Tamandua tetradactyla: one gene and its partner. The protein of the gene in region 2 binds, or shares a complex with, the protein of the main gene of each other region. Links are inferred from orthologs where the notes say so. Each region holds a gene or a part of one and is shown on either strand. Other genes may lie near its edges.

Region 1 (7,652 bases), on a different chromosome or scaffold from region 2:
ATACCTTTGTGCAGACGGGACGGAAAGGCAGGGGCCGCCGTCCTACCATGCTACACTCAGAAACGTTACAGAGTTGGGAAAAAGCCACAGCTTGCTCAGCTTCCGATAAAGAGTGGATTCAGAGTCCTCTCCGTTTCAAAGAGCAGGGAATCGGGGTACCCAAACATCACAGGGCCATCCCCACCAAAAAGAGAAACAAAAAAGCAACACCCCCTCCCTCCCCCAAAAAGGGAAAAAAAACCCACACAAACCCCACCGATTTAAAAAAACACATGGCTCATGATAAAAAGAAAAAAGTAAAATCCGAAGTGCTTTTCAAAACGTTTTTAAAACTTTTAAAAACGAACAGCGCTTCCTCAAAAAATTAAAAAAATTAAAAAAAATTAAGTCTGCTAACTAGGCCATCGGGGGTCAGAAGCTGTCAGGCTGCGTTTGACAAGATCAGAACTGATGTGACTACAAAAGTGGAAATACAAGGAGGTGTGTTCACTACACATTAACGATTCAGCGAAGCTCCCAAAATCTTTAAATATACAGCCATTGGAAGGACGATCTTGAGCAGGAAGGATTTTTACTCGTTGTGTGTAGCTGAGGACAAGAAGCAAGTACAGTGTAAAGGCACTGAGGTCAGCGACAAGATGCAGCATTTCACTCCCCGGAGGCCGAGCCTGGAGGCGGGGCCTGGACCTCGAGAGCACCAACCCCCCGGCTGAGGGCGGCCGTCTCCGGCCCCCACATGCACTCAGGCCGGCATGCCGGCTCCCTCTCTCCCTTTCCTTCTGGACTTGTGCTTGGCTCTGCTTTTGCTTTTTGTTTTGTGGTAGAAATGGCTCCTGGCACCAAGAGGAAAGATTGGTTTCTTAGGGGCAAGCACAGCGGTAAGATCTGAGCGTGAGCCTAAGTCACTCGCAGGGGCGCCAAGGGGCACCGGGCTCCCACCGCAGGCCACATAGTGTGGCGCCCTCGGAGCCGGCCTTACCGTAACTGTCATAGCTGTCTCTGTAAGACCCGCCAGAGCTCCGGTCACCATAGCCGCCACCCTGACTCCGGCTGGGAGAAAGACACATGGAGGTATTAGAGAGGACCTGTGGAGCTGCTGGCCTCCAGCCCCTGCCAGCCCACTCTCTGGCCACACCTACAGATGACCCAAAGCCGCATCCCACCCAAAGCCCTGATCGGCCACTTCCCCTCCCTGGTTCACTTGGATCTCCCTCCCTGACACCAACTGGCATCCCTCACCTGCTGTAGTAGTCTCTGGAGCCTCCATAGCCCCCACTCCTGGACTCGAACCGGCTGCCCCCGTAGCCACGGTCCCCTCCTCCTACACAGACACGAACAGGCCAGATGATGGTGTGAGCACAGCTCCTGCCAGCACTGCCACCACATGCCTCTGGCCTTATGCCTGGCACTCACCTCTGGAGAACCCACGGCCCCGGCCTCGGCCGCCGCGGAAGAAGCCCCGGCCCCCAGCAGAGCCACCTCGGTACCCGCGGGACCGGCTGTCGGATGACTTCCCAGCCTGGTCAACTCGGATCTGTCGCCCATCTACAGACTGGAGAAGAGAGAAGAGGTGGCTAGTCAGCCTCCAGTCTGCCCACCCACAGGGTGGTGCTCTGCCAACCCCACCATCTGCCCCTCACCTTCCCATTCATGGCCATCATGGCATCCTTGGCATCGTCGATGTTCTCGAAGGTGACAAACCCAAACCCTCGTGACCGCTGCGTCTCCCTGTCTTTCACAACCACCACTGTACAGGAGAGAGACCTGCAATCAATGCCTAGCTCTCCCCAGGACCAGGCGCGAGCCAGCCCACAACCAGCTCACCTTCAGAGATCTGTCCATACTTGGAGAAGACCTGCTCCAGAGACTGCTCGTTGGTGTCAAAGCTCAGCCCTCCGACAAAAAGTTTGCCTTCGTCTGATGCCATGATGCCTGTGGCAGACACAGCCTCAGCCTCCCCGCCCGTTTTGTTTTATACAAACGTCGTGTGCTCTGGGAAGACGTCAAAAAATCATTTTCCTGCACCTATGTCATCTCAAATCTATGTCCAGGGCTTCTAAATTCAAATAAATCTGTTAGCCACCCCCCCGCCCCCAACACACATACCCCACTACCCCCCCCCCCACGCCGAAGGCTTCCTGGGCAGAGCCGGGCCTCTCAGCCCCTGTACAGCAAGGTGGATGCCCCTCATGGCCCCTTTAGAGCTGAGAACAGGTATTCTCATGCGGAAGTATCTAGGGACAGGAGTGCACTCTACTCTCTCCTTTTTGCATAGAAGGGGCTTAGGTTCTTCCCTAGCTACCCGAGGGACCCACCTAACCTCTCTGTCGGCTGCTGGGTGGGAAGGTGCTTTGTGTACTGAAGCGGGCCAGCTTTGTAAACAGGACCTCTGCAGGGCCCGGGGAGGGTGCGCCCAGGGCGCGGTGACCCCAACTGGCCATTGCGGGGGAACCAGACGGGAGGGGCGAACCAGCGCGGAGCAGCCCCCAAAAGAGCGGCCGGGAAGAGACTTAGGGCCCGAATAACCGGGCATGCTCCCCCTCGAGCGACCCCAGCATCGGAAAACGGAAACTTAGGATCGAGAGAAAAGAGCGCCGGGCTCCGGAGCCCCGCCCCGCCCAGGCTCCGCCTCGCGCGCATGCGCACAGTGCACGCCCTGCGCCACTCCATCCGGGCACTCGGGCGCTCCCGCCATTTCGCTGGGCGCAGCCTAGAGCCCGCGGCCGCCATTTTGCGGCAGCGCCCCGCTCACCAGCGGCCTTAGCCCGCGGGGGGCACGCCCTCCGGCCGCCGCTCGGCCCCGTTCCCCGCTGCCCTTGCCGCCGGCGGGGCGGACGCCAGCCTTGGCCCGCCCCGGCCACCGCCCCCTCCCAGGGGCGTGCCGCTGCGGCCCCGCCTCGCCTGGCCTGCCGAAGCCGCCCGCCGCCCGGGCTGCTCGGCGCCGGCGTCGCCAGGGCCTCACCACTGAGCTGGGCAGGTCCCTGAAGCAGGCGAGAAGACACAGACGAAGTACAACAACTCGAGCCTCCTAACGCGCGAGTGAAGGGGGGGCCGCGGGCGCCCGGCCTTATATATGCCGCCTCCGGGCCCCGCCTCTGTGCCCGCCCCTTGAGCCACACGAGCCAATCCGGGGCGCGGATGGCCGACGTCGCGCCTCATATTCATGACTGAGGGGCAGGGCCAGCTCCGGCTCCGCCTCTTCCGCCTCGCTGGAACCAGGAGCGGTGATTGGCGGGGGCGTTCCGGCCAGGAGGCCGCAGTTCCCCGTCTGCGTGCGCGGGGACGGGCCAGCGCGCTGGGGGCGGGGCTGACCCACTTCCGCGTGCCCGCCCCTCCACCCCTCGGCCTGAGGCGGGGAACAAAGGGGTCTCCCGCCGCTACCTCCAGGGGCCGTAACCTAGAGGGGTTCTCGGTGTCTACTGCACCCCGACCTTAGCTGTACTCCAGCAACTGCTGACATCCCGACCTAACTGGGATCCCAATACCCACCCAAGCTCTATCCCCCAGACACCCCAACTTCATCTCTACCGCGACATCTTTCTGGTACCTTGCCCACAAAAACGGCACCCCAGTATTCCCAGGAACCCAAACCCCGTGGGTACACGGCTTCACGCGATCGACCCCAATGCCCAGCCTCGCCCCAGCATTCAGACGCATCTCAATTTATGTGAACCTCAACATTCATCAGTATCCACGTCTTCTCAGTACACAAGACTTTGGTCGTCACATCTTCAGCCAAGCCAGTTTGACTACAAACCCCAATAGGCAGCCATACCTATCTCCCTACCAAGCTCAGACATCACCTGAGCCCAATGAGTCGCCTATGTCCCAAAAATTGCCTGGCGGGGTATTGTGCATCTCAGTCCAGGCCCCTCAGCATGCTCCCCAACGCTCAGTTCAGCCTTCGACCCCCTGCCAGCAACAAGGCAGCCACCACGGGATTCTGCACCCCCACAAGCTGCATGCTCTCTCCTGGGGGGGACGGTCAGGGGTGTGCTCTGTTAACACCCCTCTGACTTGCCTGTCTTTTCAGAGACATCCGCTGTTGAGGTGGAGGTCCTGGAGGGTCCTCAAGACCTCTGCTATCAGGGGAACTAGCTCTGTGGGAACCCTGCCGCTCTTGTGGCTCTGGACCCTCCTGGAGTAAGAGAAAGTAGTACAGAGCTCTTGCTGGTCCAGACCAGTGGCCCAAGGTACAATCCTGCCTCCATAAAGCTTCAGGGGGCGACGTGGACCAGAGACCCTTCCTTGGAGCGGACCCCAGACGAGTTCCAGCTTCACCCAGACATGTCTCTCAGCCACAAGTGGGTCTGGCTAACTCTCACAGCAGGGGATACAAGGGCGAAGCCAAGGTCGCGGGAATCCCGTCGACTCAGGGGCCCCCTCCCCTTCCATGACCCATCCTCGCTCCCTCGGCACCGTGCATCCCCACGCCACAGCCCGGCACGTGAGTCCCAGACCGCCGTGGCAGCAGCTCCTGCGTCAGCCATGCGCAGAGAGAGATGTCAACTCTCGGCCCCACCCGCCACCCATGGAGGGGGGCCCTGTACCCACCCGAGCCGCCGGGAAGCCCGGAGGCCTGGGGACAGGTAGCCCACCCTTTCAGTCAGAAAGGGCTGCTGCTCGCTCAGGACCAGGCCAGGGGGCTCTGTAGCAGCCCCGGTCCAGGGGCGCCCTCCATGTCCCCTCCCATTGTTCTCTGGTTCCTGGTTTCGTGCAGCGCCCCGCGTTCATTCATTCTTTCTGCCGACACATGCTTGTCAAGCGTTTACTACCAGCCCCCTCCATGTTGGGCTCTATGTGAACCTGCAGAGGAGTTTGCCTGTGTCCCGTGACGGTGAGGGGCACAGGGGGTTACCTGTTGCCCGGAGCACCTGGACTGTGCCGGGTGTCTTCCCTGCGTACCTGGGCCTCAGGTGTGTACCTGTCTCGGTACCTGTGTCTCTGTGGTTACCTACGTCTGTGTGTACCTGTGACTCGGCGTATACCCTGCACTGCGCGTCGCTGCGAGGGGCTCCCAGGGGTCCGAAACTACCCTTATCTCTGTGCTTCCTGCCGGGACTGCTGCATCACGCGGGCCCTGGCCCGGGCGTGCTCTGCGCTGCGGACACTTGGGGGCGCTGCGATCCCGCCCCTCGCTCAGGCCGCGCGACTCGGCCCCCCTGAGTGGGTGGGAGAGAAGCCCCCTCCCCCATCTCCTCCAAGACTGCCAGTGCGCGCAGCCGCGGGCTGGGAACACCGCGACCCCAGGCCAGTGCTCACACGGAGGCCGGAAGGCTCAGGTCTTCTGGCCCGGCCGGGCTGAGGGTGCCCGCGCGCGGTGCTCCTCTCCAGCCTTGGAGCCTGGGGCGTTAAGCCGGGGGTTCCCGGGTTGCCTCATCCACCAACGCACCCCTTCCCCAGACCCGCCGTTTCCCCGCATCCAGCGCGACCAGGGACCACCCCGTGGGTGGTGCAGGCGTCGCCTGGGGGATGGGGCGGGGCTACCTGGCTCTCGCACCGCCCCTTCCTCCCTCCCCGCGCGAGGTGGGGATTGCGGGACTCCGGGTCCTTTCGCAAACCCGGCTAATAAGCGGGCGCGAGGTGATAATGAGCGTCTGGGCCCGGGACGGGTGTGGCCGGGGATGAAAGGCTCGTGGGGGGGTGGGCACCCCGGGGCCGCGTAATTACCGCCCCCTCCCGGCCAGGCGGAGGCCCACGGTGCACCTGGAAGCCGCCGGCGGAGACGCAGACGTGGGGCGGTCCTGGCCCCGACTCGAGTCCGCCAGGCCGGCTCAGAGGCTCAGATCCGCAGGGACCAGCGCCAGGGTGGGGGTAGGAGACGCGGACGTGTGCGTGCGTGCATGCCCGTGGGCAAGCAGATGTCGACAGGGACCCGTGGGTACACAGGTGGACAAGCAAAGCTGACTCCAGACGTGCTTGGCTGGGCAGCAGTGGGTGGGTGGGTGCAAGGGCACACAGGCATGGAAGGATGTGTGTGAAACCCAGGGCACTCGTGTGTGGGTGGGTGTGCACATGGTCGTGAGTTTGTGTGAGAAGCCACAGGTGTGTGGGTGTGTGATGAAAGTGTGTGCATGAAATCCAGGACACAGGTATGTGTGTGCACTAGGGTGTGGAAGGGTGTGTGAAACCCAGGGCACTCGTGAGTGTGGGTGTGAGTGCCAATGGGTGTGGAAATGTGTGAAATTACTGGTGTGTGAATGAGTGTGCATACAGGTATAGAAGTGTGTTTCATGAAACCCCGGACACAGGTGTACATGCACGCACATGGCGTGGAAATGCGTAAATCTGCTATGTGGATGTGCGTGTACTTGGGCGTGGAAGGGTGTATGTGAGACTGCTTGTGTGTGGGTATGTGGCGGTGGGAACACTTTTGCAGGGGTGCATGCCCTCCATGTCTCCGTGGTGGCATCTGCCATCAGGTGGAAGACCAGAAGCAGCCCAGCCCAGGCTGCATGTGCATGACTCAGGCAAGCAGGGACCCCGGAGCACATGTTCCAGGCAGGGCCTGGTCGCGTGACTCAGGGCCCTGGGATGGGCATTGTGCAGCGTGTCAGCAGCAGTAGCCCAGGGCCCCAAAGGGAAGAGGAGCAGGAACCCGAGGCCAGAAGCCCATCAGAGGAAGGGTTAACCCTGCCCTCCTCCCCTGCTGCCACCAGCACCAACAGGTGGGAACCTCCCAGGTCCCTAGGAGGCCCCAGGTGCCTGTGAGCTGGGAACACAGGAGGCTGTGCTTCCTGTCATGAGGGAGGCCCTTGGTTTCCGTCTTCTGCCTTGGAAGGGGTCCCTGCTGAGGCAGAGGACACTGGGCTGGAGCTTCCCAACTTGACTCACCCCTCCCCACAGGCCTGAGTCACCGCTCAGGAATGTGGAGGCCGCTGAGGCCAATCTGCCCCCGCCCAGGCCAGGCCACCCCAGCCCAGCACACACTCTGCCTGAGCCCGGGGGGGGGGGCCCTAGATGTGCCACACATGCGCCATGGAGAAACCGGGACTGCACACAGCATCACACATCCTGGTACGTGCCGTGGACACATCCCAAGCTCACCAGTGTGTGGGCCAAGCAGCCCCCAGAGACCCTGATAGGGACCACTTGTATGGAGGGAAAATGAGGCACAAATGGGTTAGCAGACAAGCCGGGAACATACGGCGACACGCATTTACATGCAGCGAAATGCATCCACACTTAGCACACATATTAAGTGCTTGTGGAATGCAGAGTCTGGGAACTGGTGGCCTCTGGCTCCCAAGGAGTGGGCCCCAGGGGCTGCAGAAGTTACCCCCAGAGTAGCCCCACATGCTCACCTACATACTGGCTCCCTGCAAGCCCTAGGCAGCACAGAAAGGGGCCTCCCTGGGGCTTGGGGATGTCACTGAGTCTCCCCACAACTACCAGGGCAGCTGCACATACCTGAGGGGCATAGTGGGTGCCCACCAAAGCATCTATGAATGCAGCAGGCACGCCCAGATGCGCGCCCCGGGGCACCAGGAGAGCACCCACATATACACATGCGGACCCAGCACCCACCCTCGTGCCCACGGAACATGTGGATGGACCACCACTGGCTCCCATAGATCACCTGGACAGGCAGGTGGCCCTCAGGTCCCTCTCTGGGTCTCAGATGCTTCCCCTGAGATGGGGCCGGAGCAGCA
Region 2 (7,046 bases):
TAATTTCTCCCTCATTTTTGAAGGACAATATTGCTGGATATAGGAGTCTTGGTTTCAGTTTTTCTCTTTTAGTAATTTAAATATATCATCCCACTGTCTTCTAGCTTCCATGGTTTCTGCTGAGAAATCTACACATAGTCTTATTGGGTTTCCCTTGTATGTGATGGATTGTTTTTCTCTTGCTGCTTTCAAGATCCTCTCTTTCTCTTTGACCTCTGACATTCTAACTAGTAAGTGTCTTGGAGAATGCCTATTTGGGTCTATTCTCTTTGGGGTGTGCTGCACTTCTTGGATCTGTAATTTTAGGTCTTTCATAAGAGTTGGGAAATTTTCAGTGATAATTTCTTCCATTAGTTTTTCTCCTCCTTTTCCCTTCTCTTCTCCTTCTGGGACACCCACAACACGTATATTTGTGCGCTTCATATTGTCATTCAGTTCCCTGATCCCCTGCTCAAGTTTTTCCATTCTTTTCCCTATAGTTTCTGTTTCTTTTTGGAATTCAGATGTTCCATCCTCCAATTCACTAATTCTAGCTTCTGTGTCTTTAAATCTACCATTGTAGGTATCTATTGTTTTTTCCAGCTTTTCTACTTTGTCCTTCATTCCCATAAGTTCTGTGATTTGTTTTTTCAGTTTTTCTATTTCTTCTTTTTGTTCAGCCCATGTGTTCTTCATGTCCTCCCTCAATTTATCGATTTGGTTTTTGAAGTGGTTTTCCATTTCTGTTCATATATTCAGCATTAGTTGTCTCAGCTCCTGTATCTCATTTGAACTATTGGTTTGTTCCTTTACTGGGCCATATTTTCAATTTTCTGAGCATGATTCGTTATCTTCTGCTGGCGTCTGGGCATTTAATCAGATTTCCTTGGGTGTAAGACCCCGCACGTTGAAAGATTTTTCTTTGAAATCTCTAGGCTCTGTGTTTCTTATCCTGCCCAGTAGGTGGCACTCGTGGCGCTCATCTGTCTGCGAGTCCCACCAGTAAAAGATGCTGTGGCTCCTTTAACTTTGGAAAACTCTCTATATGGGGGGGGTCACCAGCCGAAGTGGCTTGGGGAAGTGCCAATCCGAATCTCCAGCCGACCCGGGGGTCCGCACGCGGGGAGGGTCACCGGCCTCCGCGGTTTGGGGGAACACCTGTCCAAATTTCCCAGCTGGTCTGGGGCGCCAAGTGTGGCGGGGGGGCGCCAGCCGCTGCGGCTTGGGGAAGTGTCTATCTACCATTCCCAGCCGGACCGGGAAGCCACGTGTTTGGAAGGGACCCCGTTCGCTGTTCTCCGCGGCTTGGGGATCTCCGATCCAATTCTCCCAGCTGGTCCAGGGGCCGCGCGTGGGGGTGGTGCCAGCCGCCGCGGCTTGAGGGGACCACCTGTCCAATTCTCCCAGCCAGCCCGGGAAGGAGGGAGGGAGGGACCCCGGCTGCCTGCCGCCCCGGCCCGGGGAAGCCCGCGCCCCTCGGCGATCTCACCGGAGCGTGTGCTTCCACCCAGTCAGCCATTCCAGAATGGGGTACGCTGTCTTCTTGGTCTGTGTTGTGGCTCCGGGAGCTGTTCTGAATCGTTTCAACTTCTCTAGTAGCTGTTCTGGAGGAGGAACTAAGACCTGCGCGTCTTACTAAGTCGCCATCTTCTCCAGAAGTCCTCGACATATGGTAACTTTAATTGTTTGCAGAACTAGCAGACTGTTTTCCAAAGAGGCTGCACCATTTTACAATACCATCAGCAAACTATGAGAGCTCCAATTTCTCCACATCTTTGACAACACTTGTTATTTTCTGTCTTTTAAGTTTATCCATACTAGTAGGTGTAAAGTAGTATCTGGTAATATTAATTTGCATTTCCTAATGACTAATAATGTTGAACATCTTTTCGTGTATCACTAGCCATTTGTGTATCTTTTTTTACAGAAGTATCTATTTAAGCATTTACCATTTTAAAAAATGACTTGCCTTATTTTTATTGAGTTGTAAGAGTTTTTTAAAAAATATATTTTAGATACAAAACTCTTATCAGGTGTGATTTGCAAGTATTTTCAGGGTTGTCTTTTTATTTTCTTGATGGTATCCTATGATGCACAAAAGTTTTTAATTTTGATAAAAGTCCCATTTATTTTTTCCTGTTTTGCTCATGCCTTTGGTATAAAGCCTAAGAAGTCACCACTGAATACAAGGTCTTGAAGGTTTCCCTATGTGTTTTTTTTAGGAGTTTTACAGTTTTAGTTCTTACATTTAGGTTTTTGATTGATTTTTAATTGAATTTTGTATATGGTGTGAACTAGAGGTCCATCTTCATTCTTTTGCAAATTGCTGTCCAGTTGTCGCAGCACTATTTGTTGAAGAAACATTATGTAATGTTCAGTGAGTGGGCATAACATCTTTGTTAAAGAGTAGTTGGCCAAAGGTGTGAGAGTTTATTTCTGAACCCTCAAATTCTATTGGTCTATATGCCTGTCCTTGTGCTAGTACAAAGCTGTTTAGTAATAGTTGTTTGTAATAAGTTTTAAAATAAGGAAATGTGAGTCCTCCAACCTTGTTCTTCTTTCAAGATAGTTCTGTTGATTCTGGGCTGCTTATTTTTCCCTATGAATATGATGTCTAGCTTTTCCATTTCTGCAAAGAAAGTTAGACCACTGAATTTTTAAAACATTTTTATTGTGAAATATAACATATATATTAAAAAGCATTAGATTTCAAAATAAATTTTAACAAGTAGTTATAGAGCAGATTTCAACGTTTGGTATGGGTTACAGTTCCACAATTTCAGGACTTTCCTTCTAGCTGCTCCAAGACACTGGAGACTAAAAAGAAATATTAAGGGTGGGCCATGGTGGCTCAGCAGGCAGAGTTCTTGCCTGCCATGCTGAAGACCCTGGTTTTGATTTCCCAAGCCTGCCCATGCAAAAAAAAAAAAAAAAACAACAACAAAAACAAAATATCAACACAATGATTCAGTAGCCCTACCCATTTGTTAAACCCTAACTTCCGTGTTATAACTCCTCCTTCTCCTTTGATCCTTCTCCCAATCTTTAGGGATATTTGAATTATGCCCATTGTAACATTACATGTTGAAAAGGGTGTGGACAACATGGGATGGGGGATGGAACTAGTTGATGTTCTTGGAGAGACTGGCATCTCTGGGTTTCAGGACTTAACTGGCACAGGAAGTATCTGAAGGTTTTAGGTTTCTGAAAAGTAAACTTAGTGCATCAACTTTTGTAAGAGCTCAGATAGAGCCCTGGCCGTTCTTCAGAGTTAACAGGAATGATGTTGGCTGGGGTTTGGCAAATTGTAGCAATTAGCCATATCTAGCTGAAGCTTGCCTAAGAGTAGCCTCCAGAATAGCCTCTTCACTCATTTGAACTCTCTTAGCCACTGATACCTTATCTTTCCCCCCTTTTAGACCACTGATTCGGAAAGGTATGCACAAAACTACAATTCACTATGGAAATGATCCTAAAGATGTATGCAAATAAGTGCTCAGGAGTTCATAGCGTCCTGAGTAGTAAAATGAAAGGCCCCTTTGGGTGTAAAGACTTAAGTGGGAAAGGGGAGCGAAACAGGGATTCTAGATATTTTGCATTTATTTCAATGTGGCATCTATTTCAAATTTGAAAAAAATTATTTGATTAAAAATAGAGACAACGCACGAATCTGTACTAAGCCATGTTTCCGTTTCCAGTACAATGGACACTGGGGAGGGTTGAATTGACGCGCCTTATGCAACAGGCCAGGAAGGATTTCCTGATGAGGGAAGAGAAAGAGCTCGGATTCATCACCAAGGAGAGGAGAGCGGTTAAGGGACGGGGTGCACATCGGTCCCAAACCTCGAATCGGAGAAAAAAAACGAAGAACACTAAAACCAAACCCTTGCTTGCGTTCTTGAACCGGCAGGGTCACTTCCGGAAGGAGGCGGGGAGACACGGAGGAGGCGTGTCGGGAAGGAGTCCGTTCGCAGTGCACAAGGCGGAAGTGTGCCAAAGGTATAGGTGTCGCCGCTTCCGGTCCGGGTAAACGCGGTTTAGGAACACTCCGAGGTTTTTGTCAGGCGGCGATAGATTTCTGAGGGAAAGCTAGCGGGTGAGGAGTGGGGCATCAGCGTCCGGACTCAGAAATTTGGAGCCTAGTGGGAGAATCGGGGAAAAAAGGGCAGGAACCTGAATACGGTCTCACTGCTGTTTCCGAGGGGTCACTTTCCATTGGGAACCCCTCTGCCCTGGTAACGGCCAAAGAGGAGGAGATGGCGCCAGTCAGGGAGCGGCCGTGGCCGAGGCAGTGAGGAAACGCGAAGGCGGAGCTACTGGAGAAGCCTCAGGAGAAAAGCCACAGCCGTCGCTGCCGCCACTGTTGCCTCCACCATGGAAGGGACAAAGCCGACGTTGCAGCTCGTGTATCAGGCAGTGCAGGCGCTTTACCACGACCCAGATCCCAGCGGAAAGGAGCGCGCCTCCTTTTGGCTTGGGGAGCTGCAGCGTTCGGTGAGGGGCCCAGAGAGGCCGTTCTGTGCCGCGGGGCATTGGTGAAGTGGGCTCTAGGCTCGAGGGGGTAGCCGCTGTCTGGCAACTGGCCTGGTGAGGTCCTCTTTGGGGAGGAGCTGCTGCCGCGGGGTGGGGCTGCGAAGCTACTTATTGCTGCTTCTCGGAAGCTAATCGCAGCTGGTCGGTCGGTCGGTCGGTCGCGAACTGGCCCTTTTCTCACCCCGTAGAATCTGATTTGTGTGTCCTATCCTTCTTGCTTGTGACATCGATCTGGTTCTCTAAGTTCTAACCTTACTGTTTCTTAAGCCCTGCTTTCCCGTTTTGTCTTCCTTCAACCCAATCCCATCTCCGTCTTTTTCTTTAGGAATGTTTTATCAGCCTCTTCTCCCTACCCGTGTGTTGCATCTGGCAGTTCCTTCCCAATCGTTACCTTACTCACACCTTACTGTTCTCCTCGATTCTCTCTCTTTTTTTTTTAGTAAAATACAACTTTAATATTGAACTATTAAGCAAATTTTCCAAAAACCACCTGAACACAAAGGAAAAGAAATTCTTTTAACCAAAATACCATTAGTGTGGACTAATTTTAACCGAAAGAACATAAGCTCTTTAAAACACCAATTTTAATCTGATAATAAAACAAATTTTAGAAGATATATGCTACTAATCACAAATGTTACCTGTTAAAGTGTTCTTATGGGAAACTAAATGTTTGAAACAAGAAACTCCACCATTTAGAATCTGACACAAATTAAATGTCTAAGAAGTCTCTGGATATCCCTGCAAATTTGGGATAGAAATGAATATGATGTCAGTATTTTTATTGTCAGTATCTTCCATACAATAATGAGGTTTGACCTTTTTCTAATAATGTGTATTTATAATTATTTTCCTGAAAATGATGAAGGCATTAAAAACATGCATGCATTAACTATTCAATCTTATGGTACTCTTTAAAGATGAGTAGGTAGGCTAGAATCATTTTCCCTTCTCAATTTTGCTGTGCTATGTACTATGTATTATCCATTGATAACTTGTTACAGGTCTTTAAAGATTTTATCATTTGGTTTGGTTTTCCACATCACACTTCTTGATTTAAAGGCCTCATCAAGCCCAATTGTCCATTCCACGGCGTTGTGGCCCAAATTATTATTCAGCTGCCATAAGTGATAGTTCCATTTCCATTCTCTGAGGGCAGAGTATGGTAGTCTTCTTGACTTACTGATATTGGGTAAATGTTTGTCACCACTTGATTGAATAGCTCAGGGTTCCTGGGACTTCTACTGCCATTTTCTTGTAATGTGGGCATATCAATAGCTGAATTGCTTTGTGCAATAAAGCGCTCACCTTTGGCAGTAGTAATCAAAGCTCCTCCTTAGAACTCCATTTGGAGGGCATCAGTGTTCCAGGTTACATGTCTCTTTTTCAGGCCAACCATTCTTCCCCTTCTTTAGGACATGCTGGATAATAGCATACCTGGTTACACTCTAAGAGATCTCTTACCACTTCAGTCATGGGGATGTAGAGTCCAAGGTCTGTAGGGCAGGCCACAAGCTAGTAGCTCTGATGAAGTTTCTCAGCAAACTCTCAGGAGAGGCTGGCTGGACAACCGTGGGAATTGAAGAGTCCAAAATCCGCAGAGCAGGCTGTGAAGCTGACAACTCACTTGAAGGGTCTGGATGAACTCCATAGGAGAGGCTCACAGGCTGAAGCAGGAAGGACTGTCTCTTCTGAATCCTCGCCTAAATTAGTTTGAGTCTGTTATTCTCGAAACTTCTCAGGTTTCCAGATTCTTATGCATATGAATTTCCCCTTGTTTTGGGGTGTGATACAGTGTAAGTTAAAAAATATCAATTCTGGTTTCAGAAAATCTCATTTTGCTGCATAGTGGTTTTCTGGCCTTTTCACTTCTCTGACTTTCAGGTTCTTCATTGGTAAAATGCGTATAATAGCTTCCTTGATTATTCCATAGAAATATTGTGAGCATCCACTAAGGCATTTGAGAAAAGTCCTTTATTACCTCTAATTATAACCTATTATATTAGTTGTTTCAGGTATCTTATGATTCCTCTCCCTGATTTTTACACTCTACTTTGCTGTCCTTTATTTCTTTGTGAGTTTGTGTTTGCAAAGTATCTTGGAAACTGAAGCGGCTGATACAAACCGACAAACTACTTTTCTTATGTTTGCATTTTATGCTCCCAAGAATTTTTTTTTTAATCCTCCTCCTCCCCTTTTTTTAAAACTCATAACTGGTACTTAAAATGCTCAGCTCTGGGTGGGCCGCGGTGGCTCAGCGGGCAAAGTGCTTGCCTGCTATGCCGAAGGACCTCGGTTCGATTCCCGGCCCCAGCCCATGTAACAAAAACGGAGAAACAGAATACAATAAAACAAGAAAATGTTTAAAAATGTTTCCCTTTCTTCCTTCCTTCCTTCCTTCTATCCTTCCTTCCTTCTCTCTGTCTTTCCTTTAAAAAAAAAAAAAAAAAAAATGCTCAGCTCTTTAAAATCAGCTCCTAGGCTGCAAGTGCATAATAAATATTTCTAAATTTGTAGCTCTGACTTTGAATATT

Evidence for each region.
Region 1: the proteins of TNPO3 (region 2) and CIRBP are in contact, whole or in part, in a crystal structure (PDB 8CMK), measured with the Homo sapiens proteins. The link is inferred for Tamandua tetradactyla from reciprocal best matches to the Homo sapiens genes TNPO3 and CIRBP. Residues at the interface, in NP_036602.1 of Homo sapiens: Arg620, Glu660, Arg661, Cys663, Arg664, Arg667, Phe668, Arg671, Ser698, Cys699, Tyr702, Ser705, Ile706, Asp709, Glu710, Asp747, Asp750, Asp751, Arg754, Arg758; in NP_001271.1 of Homo sapiens: Tyr160, Arg161, Ser163, Tyr164, Asp165, Ser166, Tyr167, Ala168.

The regions. Positions count from the first base shown.
Region 1 is NC_135337.1:81,719,888-81,727,539, forward strand, and holds CIRBP (cold-inducible RNA-binding protein), read right to left. Parts: upstream 3,098-7,652; 5' UTR 2,963-3,097; intron 1,993-2,962; 5' UTR 1,928-1,992; coding exon 1,825-1,927; intron 1,748-1,824; coding exon 1,641-1,747; intron 1,553-1,640; coding exon 1,414-1,552; intron 1,322-1,413; coding exon 1,240-1,321; intron 1,051-1,239; coding exon 903-1,050; 3' UTR 603-902; downstream 1-602. UniProt on the Homo sapiens protein: Cold-inducible mRNA binding protein that plays a protective role in the genotoxic stress response by stabilizing transcripts of genes involved in cell survival. Acts as a translational activator.
Region 2 is NC_135327.1:170,509,722-170,516,767, reverse strand, and holds the start of TNPO3 (transportin-3), read left to right. Parts: upstream 1-3,988; 5' UTR 3,989-4,353; coding exon 4,354-4,473; intron 4,474-7,046. UniProt on the Homo sapiens protein: Importin, which transports target proteins into the nucleus. Specifically mediates the nuclear import of splicing factor serine/arginine (SR) proteins, such as RBM4, SFRS1 and SFRS2, by recognizing phosphorylated SR domains.